Linked DNA regions of Struthio camelus. The protein of the gene in region 2 interacts with the protein of the main gene of each other region in a biochemical or structural test. Links are inferred from orthologs where the notes say so. Each region holds a gene or a part of one and is shown on either strand. Other genes may lie near its edges. The genes, in order: SPI1, IRF4 and STAT6.

Region 1 (7,889 bases), on a different chromosome or scaffold from region 2:
CTGACTTTGGGGAAGAACTTCAAGTTAATTGACAGATGAATTTAAATAGAAATGAGAGACTAGACTGTAGGTTCAAGGTACAACTATGTGAAGCGCTGTTAGATACTACTGCTTGCATCTTAGTGACGCTACTGACTGGGATGTAGATTTCAAGAGTAGATGGCATAAGAGCATTCTTCTACATTGTCTGCAGAATGCAGAAGACCACTAAAAACTGACACCAAATCATACAGCTATTTGGACATGCCTTAAAGCCAAAACAACTCTTCCCAAATACAGCAAAATAATCAAATATAGCTGTTATACAAGCAGATCTTGAAGCAGTATGAATTGCCCAAACGGAGATTTTCTTCCTTGCTTAATTCTGCTCTACAAACAGTTTAAAACTTAGTAATAAAATGATAAATGAAGTGTTTTTCATTACTGCAAGAGACTGGTTTTGATAATGTGGTTCCTAAAAAATCCATGAAGCTTTCTGAATTAGTACTGTCCCAAGTTATTCCTCTTCCTTCCAAAGAAAATATGAATCTTCATTCTGATATAGATTTAGTCCAGTCTACACTTGAAATCTTTGCCAATACAGTAAAATTAGGTAAGACTGAGATATTTTAATGACATTTTTATGACATTTCCCACTAGTTAAAGTTCTTGTACAGATGCAGTTGCATAAAACTTGGGAACCACACAAAGTGGACTGTCAAAAGCACTTTTTAGCTGCTACAAACTGCATCAACCTTAAGAGGGGATCCCATATATCCAGAAAAAGTCTTTGTTCAAGTGTAGTCACAGTTAAAAACCTGTAGGTCTCACAAAGAAACATCAGTGAGTGATAACCTGTCACATGGAAAAGGGGAGTATATATTAAAGTGGAGACTACATTCAGACTGTTAAAGATCCCAAAGTAAAGCTCCACATGAGAACAATTTGTAATAAATTCTTATCAGCTGGTAGCTTGCAGCAGCTCCTTTCTAGTTCCTACTCTCTCACTATGGAAATATGCAACAAAGATATTTCAACTCATATCTTCCAACTCAGTAGTCGTATATGTAACAAAGTTAAATGCAGAAGACTGCCCCTGACTCCACAGATTCCACAGTGAGAGAGATCCATAGGCTCTTAAGAGAAGAGCGCAAACCCCACATGGCATCTGAGTGGATGTTAAGGTTGAAGGATGACACGTAAGACCCACAAGCCATGCGATCTCTGGGTAAAACAAGTTCAACAGTAACAGTTCTGGGAAGAATATGCAAGATATAAGGGGATCTCTTGTTTAGAGGTCTGATCTTCCTGTTACAAGCAAACTCAGTAGCAGAGTCTGTGTAAACACCTGTTTCTGATTAAGAGGCTTCAGGATGAGTGATGTTTTATGTGGTTTCAGTAGGGAGAAAAAGTACCTTGTGAGCACCAAACAAGGTTTGAGGTAAAGGGACCTCTTTGTGATGTGGCTGTGAGTTGAAAACCTTTTGCTTTGGTAGCTTGTGGTTAGAAATAGTTTGAAGAATAAATGGGTAGAGGTAGGGGAAAAACTGCCTTCAGAAGTATCTGAGGCACACAGTGAGGTGATGTTTAGGGGGAGAATAACTCAGATTAAAATCACAGAATCACAGAATGGTTGAGGTTGGAAGGGACCTCTGGAGATCATGTAGTCCAACCTCTCTACTCAAGCAGGATCGCCTAGAACATATTACCCAGGATTGTGTCCAGACAGCTTTTGAATATCTCCAGGGAAGGAGACTCCACAACCTCTCTAAGCAGCCTGTTCCAGCACTCAGTTACCCTCACAGTAAAGAAATTTTTCCTCATATTCAGATGGAACTTCCTGTGTTTCAGTTTGTGGCTGTTGCCTCTCGTCCTATGAAAGTTAAATGTTTTCAGAAATTTAATCTTTCAGCTGAGCAGGTTTTTCTCCAGTCCCCCAAATTCCCATCATGGAAAAGGATCCCTAGCCTACTTTAAAAGCCTTTTTAAAGGTCAGATTACACTCTGTGAGGAGCACCAACATCATACAGAGTATAGCTTAGAAATTCATGTATCTTGGGTCGAATTACTTTTTCCTCCTGTTTATTCCAAACAATATTGTTAAACTCATCTTCTTCTGCCACCTTCCCTTCCGAGAATTTCTGCTGGCTCCCATTCTGCTTTGGCATCAAGTTCAGACTACTGGTCCTCATCCTCAAGGCTCTACATAGTTCTCATCCCTGCATCTCATTTATTTCTTCCTCTACTTGCTCTGCCAGCATTCATCACCAGTAAATACCTTTATGCTTTTTGCCAGACCTTCTTATTGCCTGAATCAGCATCACTGATACTATTTTCCAGGCAACTTTATTCCGCCTGTTGTAATTAATTAAATCAATATCTGCCTCTCTAATCTGCCCCCGCACTGAAGACATACCAAAATGTTTTAGAATAAAGGTAAGCATTTAGAATTACAACAAACAAATCTGGAAGCATCTCACTACAGTAAGTGATGAATGTATTTGCATAAACACTCTCCTTCATTAACATGTTTGAGTTTTTTCCATTTTTAAAAAAATATTATTTTTAAAGTAAAACCTTACAGCATCTCAGGATAGGAACTGGATTGGTTTGTGAACTGCTAGGTATTGGGTAAATAACAGAGATTATTAACAGAGACCCTGGAATTTCAGACATAAGTTATAAAGAGAGGGGAAAAAAAAAGTGATAAAAATGACTTGAGATAGGCTAAAAAAGACATATATAAAAAGTCTGGTAATTATTTATATGCACTCAGATATTTTTGATGGGCATTTTGATAGACAACAGTGAAACTATTCTTTTAGATTCTGTAGTTCAAGAATGTATTAAAGCTGTATCTGATAAGCACCTCTCTACTAATTTGGTAATTTCATATGTTGTTGTTCTATGTGTAAGTCATCAAATAAAGCACTGCAAGGACCTGGGCCAAAAGTAGGCATTCTTTTAAGGGTGAGAAAATTCTATGATGACAAACAGGGGATAAAAACCCAGTTAAATCTAGGTTGAATTTTAGCAAGATTGTTACTAGTAATGTTCCTATACAGATACAGTACTGTAAACAAGCATTTTATTTAACTATTAGCATTTCCATTTATGGAGATACTCTCCTTCCTAGGAAACTAATTCAACTTCTGGACTTCCTGCTGTTCCTCAAGCTTTATGATGTCTTATTTTCTTCTAATTCATTACATAGAGAATCAATTTGATTATTTATGTTGATAACCTTGGTATGTTTATGATTACTCCTGGTCATTAATGTTGGTCCCTAAGTACAGTAAAGCTGGTGCAAAGTATGTATCCTTATTAGGTAATTTCCTGTGCTAAGAGACAGCATTGAAATATCCTCCAGTGTATTAAATATAGTTATGTTACACTTTAATAAAAGACCCTCTCTGGAACACACTACATTTTTATGCCTTCCAGTAGCTGTTTAAGGTAGATTTCAGTGTATTAAGAGTCAGATGTCTTCTCTGTTCAGAATAGCATTTTTAATATACGTACAATTGCCACAATGACTTTTATCATCTATTATCCAATTATCCATTTTAAGATTTATTTATGTTACTGTTCATTCCTTTCTGCTCTGTTTTTATTGATTTTTATCATCAATACTTTATTTTGCTTCTCTCCTGTTCCGCCAGGTAAACCTGGTATCTGCTAGGCTGGCATCGAAAGAGAGACTTGAGAATTACCTCAGAGACAAAACTGGACTGTTTAGCAGTTTATTCATTTCTAGGTTAACGTGAAGATTTTTGGTATCAGTAAAATAGGACTGAAATGCATATGGATCAACTAATGCTGATGAAATTCAGTCTGGGGCTTCAAGAGTTAATCTCCCATCATGTTCTCAATCTTATCCCATTGCTAATACGGTTTGCTTGTAGGGTTCCTTAGGGTGGGGAATGAGAGGAACTTGTGAGTGGCCTCTGGTTTTACCAGTGTATGAGGGAGGAAGTTTGCAGTGGCTGAAATTCCCCCTCAGACATAGACCCAGGTGAGTGGTGAGCAGGCTACTTTCAAAAGCAGAACCTGTGGCACATGGGCATAGATTGAAGGGGAACAACCCAGACAAAGAAACTTCACTTTTCCAAAATATTAGTAACTAACTGCAAAGCAAGAAAGCATTTTGCAGAGTGAGAGAGTTCTTCCCTTGTTGCAAGGGCCCAGCCCCTCAATCCTGCACTGTGGCCCACTCACTCATGCCTCTGCCAGAACCATTCGTAAGAAAGGCACATGTTCAGTGCAGCCAAATGCAAGCAAAACAGGAGGATAAAGAGATGGGAAAACACCACATAAGAAGAAGAGCAGAAGAAAGAGAAATTTCAGTATCTGACTTTTCAGATACACTTCTACAGCTCTGTTCTCTACTCACTGTTAAAGGCACTCTTCTGGGATAAGTAGAGGCCATGACATAGGACTTGTTGCCCACTTGCTTTCTCCTTGCAGGACCTAGAAAAGAAATCATAAAAAGCAAATAAGAGGACTCAGTGACTTTCACTGAACTATTTCACTTTATAAACAAGTTTGTAAAGAAAGTCGCACTGGCATAGCTTTAATTTTCTGTAGAAACCAAAGACTATGATAGTTGAGACTGTATACTCTTTTTTCCCCTTCTGCTAATTATTTCCCCTTCTGCCACTTCATTCCAGCATAAGACTATCATTAAAGCAAGTCTGTGCCACTGCATTATTCTCACAGCAGTTGTCAGGACTGTAGCTCTATGCTACATCACTAAACCCGAGAGCAGCGACATCATTATGGTTCATCTCCAGTGGGAAGCACATAGTCTTCCACAGTCAGTAAGAACACTGTACCCGTATGCTTGCTTATTGGTAGTAGGCCTGGGCTCTGGGTTGCTGATTATAAGTAAGCACCTGCCCATGGCAGATCTGGCTAAGGGCAGACTTCCTGTTACAGTGCCGCAGCTCCTTGAAATGAGATTTATGCAAACCGGCTAAAAGCTGTGATGTCACAGCGCACTGATAGACCCAAGGGCTATCTCCCTTCTACAGACATTTGATAAAATCAGGAACTTCAGATACAACTCGGGAAGAAGTTCACCTCAGAGCCTATTAGGGCAAACTATGAAAACTTGTTAGGGTCTTTCTCCAATCCTGAGATCCATTACTGCAAGGGGACTTCAGAGAGTCCAAGGATCTCACTTTCGTTGTGTTTTTTTGTTTGTTTCATGTGATTTTTTAAGTCAGTTATTCTGGATGTTTGAAAACTGAATTAAGAAAAATTCACTCAGAAGTTGGCTGAATGTTGCAAGCTTGCAAAATGGAAGGATTTCCCCTCATTCCCCCTGTGAGTATATGGGGTTTATTCCTAATATGGATGATTGGGCTCAGTAGCAAAAGACAAAGTAAACTAGGTTTTATTATTTGAGAATGTCTCTCTTTTGGTCTGTATTTGTACAGCAAGGAAGTTGGCAATATATAAAGCTAGTGACAACGTTGCAATGAATGGGGAATTAACATTTCCTCCCTAAACTTGTATCTGATTTTGATCTCCAGTTATTTTCAAAGATTAAACTCATGGTATTTTTGTAGGGTATACGTATAGCAAGCCAGTAAAATTTTTTCTTCCTTATTGCCTTTGCAGTATAAGGCCAAGTCTTGCTTCAGGTTGTAATTATTAATTAGTTTTGAGACTCTGACATAGTTTATGTATTAAATATCTACCAATCTATGAGAGAAGAGTTGCCGAATGCTGCTTTTACATTTTGCAGACTTCAGGTCTTTGTGCTCTTTGTAATGATAGAATTCTAGTCTCTAGCTTCTCTTGCTCATATTTTACATTGCATATTTTGTGACTTTTATTTAAAATATAAGCCAGGAAATAACCCTGAATCATTTTGAACATATATGGATGCACTTGAAAACTTTCCTATTTCAGGCAAGTAGTGAAGTGGCGAGAGCAAAAATAAAATGGCCCTTAATTGGGTCTTTCGATATTTTCTCCTAGTTACAAATTTTTCTGTATGTTTATACAGTGTTTCTGTTCTTTCTTTAGCTCTGCAGCATTTTTACACTTTTACATTGTGGTCAGTTTGGGGATTATTATTTGTGAAGTATATAATCTCACTAACCAGCTGTTCAGAAACAAACTGTAATGGGACATCTCAAGATAGAACGGGTAAAATAGGCCCTAACAAGATTTGCTAATTCCGTAGTAGCTGAAAAGATGGTCAGAGAAGGTGTTTTACTTGGCCTTTTACGTGGTAGATGACATATGGTATTTGCTATGTGTGTTCGGAAAAGAGAGTAAGAGACAGTGCAACTCCAAGAGTACTCTAATCAAATTTGTATCATGCTTTCTTTTTGTCTTGTCCCATCTAATGAAAGCTAAAGGCACGTTTCTTTATTTTCTATACAGAAAGATGGCCCTTTGAATTCCTTTCATGTTTTGTATCCACATTGAATAAAAAAATACTTATTTGCGTGAAATCCATTACTCTAGCAGTTCATCAGCTCATGGCCACGAAATCCTTTATTCACCCGCAGGGTGAGAAGACCCTAAGAAACTTCTTTTGTTTTCTTAAATACTCAAGTTACCCAGTGGATCTACTGTAAATATGTCAGGATAAGAATTTGAAAAGAAACTGAGAAAATGAAAACATTACATAAAGATTTCTGAATATGTTATTTGTTGGGCTTAAAAAAACAAGAAAAAATCTTGTCCTCCACTAGCATCTCCCATTATTTTTACTAATAATGTTCATTTTCTGTCTACTCATTTCCTCATAGCCACCCTCTGTGTCCCATTTCTTCACTCTTGAAGTTCAGCGCATAGATTGAATAAATGGAGTGAAAATCCAACACAGTCTGGCTCATATTCTAATTTTTGTTGTAGAAAAGTATTCTGGCTGAACTCTGCTCAGGTGAATGAGGTAACAGGCAGTGAAAATGAAATCACATCTTATAGGAATGCTTGACAGGGCAATTTGTTTTGGGTTTTTTTTGTGATTAATATGTTCAAAAATGAAAGCTTTGTGTTTTGTACTTCCAAAATTGTTTTAAATGTACTTGATCTGAGTACTGACAGTTACAGCCCCACATGGCATCATTATAAAAGTCTGTGCCTCCTGGGACTTTCTTCAGAGGGGCGACATTAGCCCGTTTCTAGACACAGGGTTTCTGTGAAGCACTACTTCCCTCCTCTGCCCCTCCCCTTTCAGTTGAGGGTGGATTGGTAACTGCCTTCCTCTTGACTATGCTAGAAGACTCTTAACCTTCGTTTGAAAAGTGCCACTCAAATGGTTTAAGAGTTATTGCATCTTTCTTTGAAGATTAAGAACTTTATATGGAAAAGTCCTGCAAACTGAGCCCATGTCTTTTAATACATAATAGAATCTTGTATCAGTTGTGCTACTGGGCAGAAAACTAATAAAGCAAACACCTTCCTCTAAAGAGGCCCCCAGGTTACCTGTGAATCCCTAAGTAGCCACCTGTAGTACTCAGCTTGGAATGGAGATATATTTGTATGAGAGCGAAAATGTACCTTATAAGCATTCTGTTTCACATAAGTGCACCTCCAAGGTGGTCCTGTGAGGCTGGCCCAATGAGTGCTCATGTTAATATTTATACTCATCTTTTCTAAAATAGTTATACTGTAAATTTTTCCAAGGAAATAGGTTAATCTTGGCCTTCAAACTTGTCTCAGCAGCACATCATTGGAAACTGTGTGGAGTATTTCTGAATCACATGCCAACGAATAGTTATGTCAGGATAACAAAAAAAGATCAGAATTCAATGCATTTGTAATCACCTGGAATCATCTGACAAAGTTTAAGTGAACAATAGGAATTTTCAAGTTGTTATTCAGTTGAATCCTCTGTATCTCTCTCAACCAATGCCAGCTATGCTCTACCCAAATAGTTTTGTGCC
Region 2 (6,959 bases):
AAGAAGTCACCACAATAAAGGAAGATTAAAATCTGGCTGTTAAGACTAGCGTCGGACCTGGTTAAACAGCATGTGCTTTTCTGGTGTAAACCAAAGTAATCAGTAGTCTGTCCCCAGATTTCCAGTGTACCTCTGAATTCTATTGATACCAGCCATGGAGGTCTTTCTGCAGCGTAAGGCTGGCTGTTTAGTGATTTGTTTCCTCAGCCCTGCGTCCCAGATTTGCGACTTTGAGCATGGGGTTGTGCAACTTTAATAGTGCTGTTACTTTAGGTCTGAGGTTTGCTGCTGCTTTGGGCAGTTGAAGGCATCATCTCACAGATTGATGATCAGGGATTTTGGAGGATTTCTAAGGGAAGAAGGCACCCAATGGAAATTGGTGCCGGTAACAAATTACTAAGCCCTTCAGAGATCTCCATCTCAGGAAGGAGGTTTGGGAATACTTGAAGATGCAGACAGGCAGCTATGAGCTTTTCAAAACCATCGTTAGCAGCTTAATTCACTTCCGAAAATGCATTTTGCCCAAGTCATTTGTCAAGGGTTTCAGAACAACCTTCGCCAGGCTCCTGCAGGCCCCTGATACCCAGTCTCTGCACAGCTGCATTTTGTTCCCAGTTTGGTGAACTGGCTGCTGGGCAATAAAGCAGGGGAGAGGTTTGTGTCTCCTTCTGCTTCCAGGGGCAAAGGGAAAGTTGTACCAGGTTGGTCAGAGTATGTTCAGGGACTTGAGCATCCACGTGGGGAAAAAAGAAGTTTGACCTTTTGGGCTGAAAGCCATGGTCAGGTGCCTGTTGTCTTCACCTAAGGCTAGAGCCTGACTGCTGATGCAGACGCTCGCTTGCCTTGTGACCTGTGGGTTTGCTGTGGCTGCGAGCTCTGCAGGCACGCAGTGCTCCGCTTGCTGCTTGGACTGCACCTAGTGCAAGGCAGGCTCGACCTTTACCTGTCTCCAGGACCTGCTGTACCATGCACCTTCCTGCCAGAGCTGCGGGTGGATGTCCTGCACAACCGGTGAAGCCGACTTAGCAAAGATGGGAACAGCGAGCAGGTGAGCTCCGCTCCCGCCCCGCGGTCGCCCTGGACAGGTTCCTCTTCTGCGCGAGGAACTCCCCCTGCACGGGTGCTGAGGGGATTTCATGGCCTCCAGCATGGCGGGGAGCCCTGAGTGAGCGGCAGCCCTCGGAGGGCCTCTGTTATGCCGCACCTTGCCTCTGGCATGTTTCCATCAGCTTCTCTGCCTTCAGAACTGTTTTTGCCCTGCACCTCTTCTGGGATGTAGGCAAGCTCCACTGTTATAGTGGGTAGCTCTGCTCCCGCACCCAGCGAAAGTGTAGGGCAGTCTTTCAGAAGGATTTTTTTTTAACTGCGAGGAATAAACTCCCGAGTGCAAGACTGGCTAATACACGTGCCTTCACACAGCTCCCAGTAGCTAGTCTGAGCTTTCGTCTTTGTTGTTTTTCTGCCTTGGGTGCAATTCCCATGCGAGTCAGCTGGAACTTCAGAGGTTTTTGGTGAAAGCAGAACCCAGCTTTCTCTGCCTTGAACGTTTGTGAGCGGCTGTTGAGAAGAAACAGTCATTTTTCCTGGCATGCCTTTAGTCAGTGTGACCTTAAGAGTGTGAAAAACAGAGGGCCTAGTGGTGAATGCAGTGGTTAAGCAGCAGCAAGAGTGTTTTCACAAGGGGACTTAAATTCAGGTATTAACACAGAAAACTTCCATGAAGACAAATGGGGCTTTTGGGTAAGGTTTGACAGGTTGGGTTAGGCACTTACAACAGTGTGGAAATTGCTAGAAAAGAAGAACAGATTGTGAAGTGCCGTAAGCGTTCAGATTATGAGCTGGACCATTTAGGGAGTAATAGGTTCTTACCGTATGCAAAAAGCACACTGTGAAAGTTTACCAGTGCAATACTGCAACATTTAATGCAGATAACACAGTTGCGTTACTGATCAGTTTTCTACTTTGCACACTGAAAATGATGGTCCTAATTTTTTTCACCATCTAAATGGACATGGCTGGTGCCAGAAACCCTGAGTAATGAAACCGGTAAAGCTAATGAGACTTAGCCTGTCTTACTCATGAAAAGACTTATTTGTAAAACTTATTATGCATGCAGGAGTCTAGCTTTAAGCATCCACTCTAAAAATTTAGGCAACTGGAAATAGTTTTCTATTGAGTTCTTTTTGCACAGAGACAGCAACAAACCAGTCAACTAGATAACTCCCCGTACATGTATTGTCTTTTTTTTTTAAGGATTCTGACTGACTTTGTCTTCCCTTAAAGATTTCTGAATTTATAACTTATTTACCTCTCTAACGGTATGTGGAATTCATTGGACAAGTGGAATTATTTTTTCAAAATATTCTCCAGAATTTGAGAAAGCTGTTAATTTTATCCTGAAGGATGTGCTCTAGTGTAGATCAAATCTGCATGTTTCACACTGGTACAGAATTCCCTGTCTTAAAATTTGCAAAAGAGAGAAGGCATTAGATGTGTTCTTTTTATGGTAATACTTCTGGATACATTTTTATACTTAAAGAAATTGCAGTTGGAGCCCTGCGTACCACCCATTCTGGCTTCTAGGAATCATACCTTGAATTTCTGGAAAACGTTTCTGATGCCTATGGCTAAAGCTATGGTTGCTCCTGTCTTGATTTATGATGGCAGTCACCTCCAATGTCCAAGACGTGTTTTAATGTTAAAGGTACTTTAACTAGTGACTGAAAAAAAATCCGACAGGCACTGCCAACTCTTTTTCTAGACGATAGCGTGTGTTACAAACTAAATATCTAAAAATGCCTGTACCTCTCACTTCCCCCTCAAAATGTGGTGATAATTACATCTAAATTTCAGAAGATGGCGTTGAAGATTTGCAATTAATATTCTAAACTCTGCATGTACCCTCCGCACCGGCGGCCTGCCAGAACAGTGCGCGATGACTGGTTTTTGATCTGATACGTTAGCGCAGAAAGGATGTGGATGTGTGTTGGAAACGTTAAAACAGAACAACAACAAGAAAGTGTCGTGGCATGAAACACGTGTTTGAAACCTGAAAGGCGGCAAGGAAGATTTTCACGCAAGTCCGCACCTTGCTCTTCCTCTCCCCCCCCTCCCCCGCCAGCTCCCGCTTCGTTAGCACAGGAGACTCTGCCAAGAAAGCAAGTTATTAACGCCCCCAGCGCTCCCTTGTGCCGGGTGCCCCACGTCCAAGTTGATGCGCTGATGTTTAACACGGGCTTTCCCAGCGGAGAGGCGCCTCTGCCCCCGGGCGGGGTCGCCGCCGGCCCCCAGGGCGGCCGGGGCTGGCGACGGGCCGGGCTCGCTGCCGGATGGGGCCCGGTGGGTTCGTGACATTTTTGGGGGCTGCAGACCACGGGGTAGGCTCGCCGGGGGAGTCCGTCAGCCCGGCTCGGATGCCGTCGGGGCTGGCCGTCCGGCGGAGCGGGAAAAGGCGGCTTTGGCGGCCGGAGGCGCCCCCGGGGCGGGGAAGCGGGGTGGGGGGGGTCGGGGCCGGGCGGCCCCACTCGCGGGACGGGTGGGTGCTACCCGGGGGCCCGGCCGGCGCCGTCTAGTGCGTTTGTGGTGGGTGTAGCTGGCTGAGTATTTTACAGTAAAAGCCGTCTGGCTACCATAGGTAGGAGTTTCCCCATGCTATTTATATACCTGTGTGTCTGTGTGTGTATATATATATATATATATATATTTGTATATATTTAAAAAAAAAAGCGCGGATGCACCGAGGGCGCCGGGCTCCGAGCCCCCCCCCCCCCCCCCACGGCGTGTTTACCAGCAATGGGCATGTGTCACTGCCTCAGATGTTTTCCAGCTCGCAAAGTCCCCGCTCCCCTCCGCCGGCTCCACCTCCGAGCCGGGTCCCGCCTCCCACCCCCCCTCCACCCCCCTCCCCGCCCGGGCCCGCAGCCCTCCATCATATAAAGAAACTTCCCCCGTGCCCGGCGGCCCAGTCGAGGTGCGCCCGTGTCCGCTGCCCGCCCGGGAGCCGGCGGCCCCAGCCCGCTCCGAGCGCCGCGACACAGGTAAGCGGCGGCTTTGGCTGCCGCCGGCCCCGCCGGGGCGCCCCGCTCCGCGCCCCACCGCGCCGCCCCCCCACCCCCCCTCCTCGAGGGCAGCCCCGCGGCGGGGCCCGGCGGGCTGGGGCCGGGGGAGAGAGGGGCTTGGGGAGGGGGGGGGGTGGTCACCTCGCTTCCCCTCGCGGTGGTCTTTTCCTGGAGATGGTGATTTTTTTTTTTCTTTTTTCCTTTTTTTTGGCTAATTACAAAAAATAATTAAAATCCCCCGCCTCGTTTGCCCCTCGCCGGGGCAGCGGCGGGGTGAAGCGGCGCCCCGGCCGGCCCCCCCTCCCCTCCCCGGCGCCCCGAGGGGCCGCGCCGTCCCTGCGCTGCAGAGGGTCGCGGAAAGCTTGTCACAGCTCCCCGGACGGGGACGGGGGACCGTTTCAGGGTGTGCATGCCGGGGGTGAGGATGTGGTGGGGGCCTGGCACGGGCTTGGGGGAGCCGCCCCCCCCCCCCCCCGGGCACGTCTTGCCCTGGGGAGAAACTCGGCGACCAGGTTGGCTGCGGTGGTGGGAGCTGCGCCCTGAGGAGGGGAGTGAGGGGTGCGGAGCTGCCCGCACCAGCGTGCTCACGGCTAACCAGGGGCTCTGACAGTCTCCCTGAGTGTGGAGGCAAGGACTGTGGGTGAGGACTCACTTTTTTATTAGATATAGTTGGACCCCCTACCCCTCCCTCCCCCGCAGCTTTTGGGCGTACAAGCACTTTCTCAGGTCGGGAGGACAAACTTTACTCCAGGTCTACCATCACTGGTGTTGGTTTGCTCATGTTAGGACCTTTCCAGTGGGCGCCCATCACTCTGTGGAGCCTCGCCGCTCCGGGCGAGTGCGCACACCTCTGCGCTTAGCAAGGGCTCTGGGTGTAGCTGGCTGCAAACTGGCCCGCCTCTGGGCAAAGTGTTCTTGTGGCAGGCTCCATAGGTTGGTGTATTTCCACTTTTAGGTATTTGCAATATATAGATTTGAATGTTATTATACATGTGTGTTGGGAGCAGTCGGAGACGTAGATATGTATAGGACATCATGTGTTCGAATGTGTCTTGCTTAAATGAGCTTGAAAAAGCTGCTTCAACATTATAGTTAGGTACCATATAAATCATAAATGTGTCTGAGGCTGTCTAAACTGTGTGCATGTATCTGCTAGTGCATATGTGCACTGTCATGTGGAACTATATTTAAATACAATTTTTTTATCTTTTTGGTTAGAAGAATAAAATCCCGGCTGAACTCAGAGCAGGTCAGGGGGGTTGTGTCTTTAGTCACTCTGTGATGAAAATTTCAACAACTGGCTTGTGTTCATGCAAAACAGTGTCGAGAGGGGGAGGAAAGTCTGTCAAAGTCTGCAGCCTGAGCGGTGCCTGGGGAGGGATGTGAGGGGCCGTGCGCAGCCTCCCGGGGCTCTGCGCTGCAGCGCTACTGTGCTTCCCGGGCCCCCTGCGTGCCGCAGCCCCGCTTAGCGCGGTGCATGCAGCACTGAGCACCAGCACCGCTGGCAGGGCTCCGTGTGGGGTCTCTGACCGGCGCCTGAACTGTGGGTTTTCCTCTCTCTGCATCCTACCCCTCTTCCCCCCTCCCCTGCAGCCCCCAGAGAGCCAGTGCGTGGGCACGTTGCAGAGAAGCGGGCTCAAGTGAAGCACCCCAAAACCCCCCATCCCGACCCCCAACGCGAGTGGCATGAACTTGGAGCCGGGCGAGTGCGGGATGAACTCAGTGAGCTGCGGCAACGGGAAACTCCGCCAGTGGTTGATCGACCAGATTGACAGCGGCAAGTACCCGGGGCTGGTGTGGGAAAATGACGAGAAGAGCATCTTCCGCATCCCCTGGAAGCACGCTGGCAAGCAGGACTACAACCGTGAGGAGGATGCTGCCCTCTTCAAGGTAGGGCTCAGCCCAGCGTCGGGGCTGCAGGGGTGTAGCGGCTGGGCCACCGTCGTGGCTCCTCGCCGTCCCGTCTCTTCCATGCCGGCAGGCTCACTCCACTCAGGGACTCGCTGCCCCCAGCGCCCCTCGCCCCGGTCTAGGTTTGCAGCGTGAGACTGCCCTTCCTTTCCCCATTCCCTCATGTGGAGCTAAATGCTCGTGGGACTGCTGCACATCTGTTTCCATATTGACTCTGGATCATTTTTTCCCTTTTCTTGTGCCTCCAAACCTGTTTTTCCTTACCATGTTCCTTACCGTGTTCCTAATGCTGCTTTTTTCTTAGCCTAAACCTGCAGGGAGTAAATTCATGCGCATATAAGCACACACATATATGCTATTTCAGGCATTGTGATCTTGTACCTTGTAGTTTGATTCTTTTTTTTTTTTTTTTTTCCCCTTGCTCTTTTGATTATCTGAAATGTTTCCAGGCTTGGGCTCTTTTTAAAGGAAAGTTCAGAGAGGGCATTGATAAACCAGATCCCCCTACCTGGAAGACAAGATTAAGGTGTGCTTTGAACAAGAGCAATGACTTTGAAGAACTGGTGGAGAGAAGCCAGCTGGACATCTCAGATCCCTATAAAGTGTACAGAATAGTGCCAGAAGGAGCTAAAAAAGGTAAAATGTCTCAGATTCCCTGTGTAATGGAGTGTGAATATCTGTCTCACTGTAAGCATATGAGGACTGAAGTATGCTTTTCTGGAATGGCCATGCAGTCTTTTTAAGTGTGTTAGTGTTGCGGTGAATACAAGGAGCTGAAGTGCAGGGCTCAAGTACATCTTCTTCTGATGACTAAAATAAGAGGCTCTGTCTGTGGGAGGACTGTCGGCATTTGAGTCAGAGCACTGAAAGGGAGCCCTTTGTAAAAGACAGAGATGTGCTTCTTGTTCGTTGCTGCAGGAATTGCTCTTTTACCTGGCATCTGCCTTCCAGTTCTCTGTAGAGAGAGGCCCATGTTAAGCAAGCAGTTCA
Region 3 (7,060 bases), on a different chromosome or scaffold from region 2:
GCGGCCATAACCCCGACACAGGTCTCACGTGCAAGAGAGAAAACTCCATTTCCCAACCCAAAGCCCCACGCTTCCGCCTCCATGGACGGATCACAGAAGCAGGAGGACATCTGCAGACGTGGGGGAGAGGAGGGTCCAGTAGCCCCTGGGCCCCGGGCTGGTGACTCCTGGCCCGGGGGCAGCACCGCCCGGCCCCAAGGACTTTCGCAAGCGCCTCTCGACCTCGGAAGCGCTGTGCTGGTCACGCGCACACAAAAGCTGAGATTTCACAAATGCTCCACCGCGATCCGGCAGCGAGCGGCCAGCCCCAGCACAGCACGTTATCCCCCCTGCAAAGCCAGCCCCGACCTCGGCGGCGGCAGGAGCGAGACGAGGAAGCTGCTGACCCTGCAGTTAAGGCGAGCGACAGGGACAGGAGGCAGCAGGGGCAGCCGGTGAAGGCCGAGGTGTTTTGGAGGCCCAGAACCAAACCGAGGCCGCTTCTCACCTCCTACCCGCTCCCCCTGCAACGCTTCCAGACGGCCTTACGAAACGGCGCAGAGCTCTCCCTCCTCGCCCCGCCGGGACGCTCCGTCCTCCCCTGCCCACCTCCGCCCGCGAGGAACGGGAGCGCCAACGCCAGCAAGAAGCTCTCCGTCCTCGGGGCCTTGGAGGAGGGGTCTGCACCAGGACGGAGAGAAGGGGGAGCTTTATTATTCGGAGCGATGCAGAGATAGAGGTAAAACAAGCACAACTCTGCCCTCTGGCAGAGCAGCCCTCTAGCAGCCCTCCATTGGCCAGGTAGAGCCAGCGCTAGACACCCCACGACCCGCCAAGGCCACCGCCATCCTGCAAAGGCCAGCTCGACCACCAGGACCAGGAGCTCTCCCAGAGCAGAGGAGCATGGGACAGGGTCATCACTTCTCACGTCAAACCATACCCCGTCCCAAGCCAGCAGAGATGCCAGCAGAACGCTGACCCCATCTAACCAGAGGGAGAAAGACCCAGAGCTTCCCCAGCGGGTTAGGTGCTGTTCAGTCTTCCAGCTTCCCAGAGACACGGTTTCTCCATAGCCACGTTGCAGCTGATCCTGCCTCCGGGAAAACAGCGCTTGCAGCTAACCTGGGAGCCCCTCAGAGGGGCTTTCCAAAGATGGGCCCCAGGAAGGTCCCCTCTGCGTACCCTGGCCCTATGTGGCCAACCTCACCTCGAAGCTGCTGGTCTCGTCACCCAGTCCCCCGCAGGGAAACGCAAGAGGGCTACGCTTTTGAATTCAAGCCTGAGAGCATCACGTAGCAGAGAGTTCCTCAGGTCGAGCTCTTTTATGTCATTTTTTTCCCTTTAATTTGTCTCTGCTCGTCAGCTTTAAGCCTCTTGTTTCTATGACCAGAGACTGCCTCTCCCTCCTGCCCCAGGAGGTTTGCAGGGACAAGGTGGCACACAACTGCCATTGCCTTTTCAGAAGCTCTGCAAGAGTTGATGGCTCTAGCGACCTGCTGGGGACAAATCTCTCCAGCTGCAGAGGTCCCTAGGACCTCTTAGGTGCATTCACAGCTGCTGGTCTGCAGGATGGCCATCTCACATGCTCACTCATGATGAGAGGTTGCTCCTACCTGGAAAGTGCCCTGCCAGCTGAGACACTGCTGGGACGGGGAAGGAGGAGTCACCCCATCCCTGCCCTGCAGCTAGCCTAACAACCAGATCCGGGTCCCTTGAGACACTCCCCCATCAGACTAATGTTCCTCGTTAAGTGAAAAAGCATCTGTGTTTCTCTTCCCAACCCCTCTCTCTGCCAGGTTCCTGGGGAGTGAGTCACTCTTGCAAAGCTAAATCTAGACAGTTTGGCTTCTCCACACATCCACACCTTGCCAATCACGCAAGACTGCAAGGCTCATCCTACTCCGGCAGCAAGATCCAGAAATACAAAAGCTGTCCAAGCTTGAAATAGCCCCTCACAAGAGCACTCCTACTCTCCTGCCCCTGACAACACTCAAGACACCCAACGCCTCTTGTGCCATCCCCAGCCAAAGAAGGGAGCTGGGTCTGGCAGGCAGGGCTGCAAACTGGGCACAACCTGCAGGCACGCCAGGCAGGCCACCCTGGCAGCGCAACTCCGCACTGCTGGAGCGCCAGGTGCTGGTGGTTCCCGACGGGCTGCCGTGCTTTAACACCTCCATCCCCTTCAAGCCAGCAGTCACCCTTCGTGTCCAAGCAGTGCCTGCGGAGGTTGCAGGCCCAGCTGTAGCGGATGCTGCAGAGACACGCGATGACGCAATCCCATGCTCAAAGTGGGGGAAGAAAACCGGTCTCACCCAGTGAATCCTCCACGTATCTCCATCCAGCACCAACAGGAAGCAGCGTCATCCCTCACCTCCAGCTCTGGACCCCGCACGTAGAAAAGCCAGGCCTGCCCCCGCTCCCGTAGTGAGGGGACAAACCACTGCTGCTCCCAAAAGCAGAGCCAGCCAGCACTCAGCAGCTGCAAATCAAGTACGGGCTGGTGGCAAAGAGGAACCAATTAAGGTGAAAGTCTAGTCCGTTCCCCTCCAGGAAGGGGAGGCTTTGGGCACCAAGGCCTTTGAGGAACAAGGAAAGACTTGGGTGGTTTTACTCTTCAGAAGCACCAAGAGCTGGGAGAGTGCGAACAGCCTCCTGCAGAGCAGAGAGCTCCCAGGTGCACCCCCTAGGCCCACTGCAGAGCGAGGGTCTCGCCATGCGCAGGATGCCGGGGCACCCTCCCCGTCCTGCCCCCGCGACCCGGGGCCCCGGCGGCAGCACCTGCTTCCTTCCACCAGCAGCCCCCAAGCTGCGCCGCCGCTCCACCTCTGCTGAGCCCAGCTCGGCTCAGGCCCTGTGCGGATGCACTCGGGGAAGCGGGCGGGCGCGCGCATGCATGCACACGCACGTGCAACACGCACTGCCCTCGTACACATGAGATGGGCCAGGCCACCAAGGCAGCGAGAGGAAAGCAACAGGCTGGATCACCCCTGCCGCCCCTAAACATGAGGGTTTCCAAACCGGCAGTGGAGCAATCCCCCCCTGCCCGCACCGCCTCTCCCCAGCATGGTTCACTGTGCAACGGGGCCCAGGGAGGTTTGACGCCCCGGCAAGCGGGAAGAGGAGCCCTGCAGAGACAGGAGCCGTGGACCAGTGCCCTTTGTCCCCCTGGAGAAGCTCTTCCACCCACCCCATCTGCTGGACTTTGTCTCCTATCTCTTCTACCACCAAAGCCAGAGAGGGATTAACAGCTTCCAGCACCGTGCACCAAGGGAGCAGGCTCGGGGGGCAGGCGCAGGACCGCTCTCTGCCTAAGGAAGGAGCATCCTTTCCACGGAGCAGGGCAGGACCCCCGCGCCCACCCCCAGCTCTGCCCCGGGCTGTCCGCGCCGCGCCGTCCCTGCGACTCGATTCCCCCCGCAGGGCCCACCGCGGCGGGCACGCTCCTGCCCGCGGCGCACCCCTGCTCCGGCGGACGCCGCGGGGCCGCCCGGCCTCCGAGACCAGCTCCGTGCCTTATTCAGCAGCGGCCCCTCCGGAAGCAGCGGGGCTCCCCAGAACCCCCTTTGCAACCTCCCAGGTGAACCCCACCCGGCACCCCGCTCCTGCCGCCAGGCCACGCGAAGGGTTTCTGGGGTGGGCACACCCCAAGGGGGAGATGCTCCCGCGCGGGGAGGCGCGCAGCCAGCCGCTCGGCAGGAAGGGGGTGCTTCCCGCGCCGGTTCCCGTGGCTCCCCGGCCGGGTGGGCAGCGGGGCAGAGGAGCTCCGCGTCGCCGTCGCCCGTTTCCACAGGCAACACCGCTTATGCGATGACTGATGCCTGCCCCTCCCGCCCCCGCCAGCTCCCGAATTCAGCGGCTTCAAACCGCAGCCCAGCGAAGGGGAAGGCGTCTGGGGGACGCGGGGGCCAGGCGAGCTCAGCGGGAGCAGCCGGACCCCGCCGGGCCCTCGGTGCCGGCGCTGCACGTGCCGCCTCCCGCCACCTCCGCCCTTCGGACCGAGCACCCAGAGCGAGGGACGGGAACGGAGGCTGCAGCCTCCTGCAGCACCGGCCGCTAATCGGGGGCAGGAGAGTTAATTTGGGGCCGGGGTGTTATCGAGCCTTCGCCCGCCTGGCCTCGCCACGGGCCGGCGCTGCTCCTGCCTCTGCCGCACCACCAAATAACCACAGCTTCGCCCGGCTCCCTCCAAGCGGGGGACCGGAAGGGACAGAAGAGCCTTCCCCAAAAAATCCCCTCACCAATCAACCGCTCCAGACCCGCCTGCCTTCATCAGGCGCTTCTGCACAGCGGGGACCCATAGAAGGGAAACGTCGCAAGCGAGCCCGGGAACAGCCCCCGTTTCTGTGCTTTTGAAGGGAAAAAGCAACCTTCTGCCCCACGCATTCAAACGCCGCGAGGAACTCCTTCACCGCTAGCTGCATTTGTTGCGCTGCCAGCTCCTCGGCGCGCTCGCGCTGCCAGCGACGGCCCCTCGCGCGCGCAAAGGCACCAGCCACCGAGCTGACGAGCTCGCAAAACTATTTACTGAATAGATCAATAAGAGCAGGGCCTGGACGTGCGCGGCGCAGGGAAAAGCAGCTCGGCCGGGCTGTCCGGCCGCTCGGTAAACACTTCGCGGGTGCCACCGGCGCGGCCCCGGCCCCGGCCCCGGCCCCGCGCCCGGCAGAGCCGCTTTCGCGCAGCGCCGCGTTATGCAAGAGGCGGCCGGGGGCGCCGGGTCCGCGCGGCCTCTCGGCCCGGCGGCAGCGCCGGCCGCGACGGCGAGTCACAACTTTCCTGCTCGGCTACCGGGGGCGGGGGGGGGGGAGGGACCGTTTGATTCCAGGGGAGGAGAACGAAGCGTTATTGCAGCTAATGGAGAGGAACGGGAAATTATCTGCCAGGGATATATTTGGGGGGGGGGGAGGATTTTGCTTTATTTGCTGAAAATCTGGGAAAAGTTCGCCGAGGGAGGAGGAGCTCGTCCCCGTCCGCGCCCCCCCCCACCCCGCGGGGCTCCGCGCACGGCGGGGGGGCACGAGGCGGCTCGGCGCCCCCCGCCCCGAGCGCTGCCGCCGCCGCCCGGCCCGGCCCCCCCCCGCGGCAGCCCCGACGGGCGCGGCGAGCCCCGCGCCGGGCGGCCCGGCGGGGCGCGGACTCACCGTCGAGGGCGCGGGCGGCGGGCGCGGCGAGCAGGGCCAGCAGCAGGCAGGCGGCGAGGGGCAGCGGCGGCCCCATGCCGGCGGTGCGGCGGCGGCGGCTCCTCACGCCGTGGTGCCCGCGGGGCGGCGCGTCCCGGGCCCGCGCACCGACATCCGCGGAGGGCGGGGAGGGGAGGGAGCGGAGGGCCGGGCCGGGCCGGGGCGGGCGGCGAGCGAGGCCCCTCCGCCTCGCGGCCCTGGGCGGCGGCGGCGGCGGCGGCGCCCTCGGGACGGGACGGGGCGGCCGCGGGGGCGGGGGGCTGCGCGCGCCGCCGCCGCGGGATGGAGCGCGCCGCCGCCCGCTGACGTCACCGGGCCCGGGCCGCCGCGCGGGGGGCGGGGGGCGTCGCGCGCCGACGGGGTGGGGGGGGGTCGTGCGCGGCGCCCGCGCGGTGCGCATGCGCGTGCGGTGCGGGGGCTGCGGGGCCCCCCCTCCCGCTAGCCCGCGGGAGGGGCTGAGGATGGGGATGGGGGTGGAGATGGGGCGAGGGGAATGGGAATGGGGATAGGGGATGGGGATAGGAATGGGGTGAGGAGATGAGGATGGGGATAGGGGATGGGAATGGGGATAGAGGATGGAGAATGGGGTGAGGGGATGGGGTGAGGGGATAAGGATGCAAATGGGAATAGGGATGGGGATGGGGATAGGGGATAGGAATGGGGTGAGGGGATGGGTGGGGATAGGGGATGGGGATGGGAATAGGAACGGGGCAAGGGGTGAGGATGGGGATAGAGGATGGGGATAGGGGATGGGGAATGGGGTGAAAGGATGGGGATGGGGGATGGAGATGGGGCGAGAGGATGGGGATGGGGAATGGGGATAGGGGATGGGGAATGGGGTGAGGGGATGGGGTGAGGGGATAAGGATGCAAATGGGAATAGCAATGGGGATGGGGATAGGGGAAAGGAATGGGGTGAGGGGATGGGGAATGGGAATGGGGGTGGGGAATGGGGGTGGGGATGCAATGGGAACGGGGATGGGGGATGGGGAATGGGGGTAGGAGCAGGGGCACGGATGGGAATGAGAATGAGGATGGGGATGGGAATGGGGAAAGGGGATGGGGCAGGGATGGGGACAGGGAATGGGGAGGGGAAATGGGATGGGGATGGGGCAGGGAATAGGGATGGGGATAGGGGATGGGAATGTGCGATGGGCATAGGGCAGGGATGGGGATAGGGGCAGGGGGCTGGGGCAAGCATGCCGCAAGCCCCTGTCCCCCCGCAGGCAGGAGGTGCCCCGGGGGAACGCGCGGGGCCAGGGCACCCGGCCAGGGCACCCTGCTCCCTCCGAGCTGCGATCCCCGGGTTTGGGGCTGCCGCCGGTCGGGGGGAGCAGCATGGGGGGCGCTCACCCCTTGGCACGGCCGGAGGCGGCTCTCCCCAGAGACCCCTTCCCCTGCAGGGAACGTGACCCTCCGTCGCCGCAAGCTGCGGCGCCGGCCGGGGCGAGCCGGGGCCGCGCTGCCGACGGCTGCAGCGCTGGGAAGGGCCCCGGGGAGCCGGCTGGCGGAGGGGGCAGCTGCAGGCCGGGGGGTCCCCACCTCCGGGCGAGCACCACGGCTGGGGAGCCCGTCCCAGGAGCGCGCCGGCGGCTCTGCCATCGCAGCGGGCCCCGGGCCATCGTGCAGCTGCCGCGTCACCCGGCCGTGCGGCAGCGCGGGGACAGTGGGGCGCGCGGGGCAGCCGCAGCGCTGCAGCCGCACGGCGCCGGGCCCCTGGGCCGGGACCTGCCTGCGCCCCCTTCCCCGAGTGACATCACACGCCGTCCCCCCCACCCCGTCCCGGCCAGGCGGCAGGGCTGCCAGGGCGCGGGGGGGTCGGCCCCAGGGCAGAGCGCCCGGCTGCCTCGCGGCCGCCTGCCAGATGTTCGGGAGGGCCCAGATGTTGCTGGGGCGCTGGCT

Evidence for each region.
Region 1: the proteins of IRF4 (region 2) and SPI1 are reported together in a solved structure, tested with the Homo sapiens proteins (2 studies listed by BioGRID, with this or other methods). The link is inferred for Struthio camelus from reciprocal best matches to the Homo sapiens genes IRF4 and SPI1.
Region 3: the proteins of IRF4 (region 2) and STAT6 form a complex in vitro, tested with the Homo sapiens proteins (2 studies listed by BioGRID). The link is inferred for Struthio camelus from reciprocal best matches to the Homo sapiens genes IRF4 and STAT6.

Annotation. Positions count from the first base shown.
Region 1 is NC_090946.1:39,184,446-39,192,334, forward strand, and holds the start of SPI1 (transcription factor PU.1), read left to right. Parts: upstream 1-4,882; 5' UTR 4,883-5,262; coding exon 5,263-5,307; intron 5,308-7,889. UniProt on the Homo sapiens protein: Pioneer transcription factor, which controls hematopoietic cell fate by decompacting stem cell heterochromatin and allowing other transcription factors to enter otherwise inaccessible genomic sites.
Region 2 is NC_090943.1:104,797,625-104,804,583, forward strand, and holds the start of IRF4 (interferon regulatory factor 4), read left to right. Parts: upstream 1-3,917; 5' UTR 3,918-4,037; intron 4,038-5,651; 5' UTR 5,652-5,744; coding exon 5,745-5,948; intron 5,949-6,418; coding exon 6,419-6,605; intron 6,606-6,959. UniProt on the Homo sapiens protein: Transcriptional activator. Binds to the interferon-stimulated response element (ISRE) of the MHC class I promoter. Binds the immunoglobulin lambda light chain enhancer, together with PU.1.
Region 3 is NC_090969.1:283,679-290,738, forward strand, and holds the start of STAT6 (signal transducer and activator of transcription 6), read left to right. Parts: upstream 1-3,980; 5' UTR 3,981-4,582; intron 4,583-5,120; coding exon of another isoform or gene 5,121-5,196; exon of another isoform or gene 5,197-5,271; intron 5,272-7,060. Other genes in the region: LRP1 (prolow-density lipoprotein receptor-related protein 1), read right to left, coding at 5,121-5,196. UniProt on the Homo sapiens protein: Carries out a dual function: signal transduction and activation of transcription. Involved in IL4/interleukin-4- and IL3/interleukin-3-mediated signaling.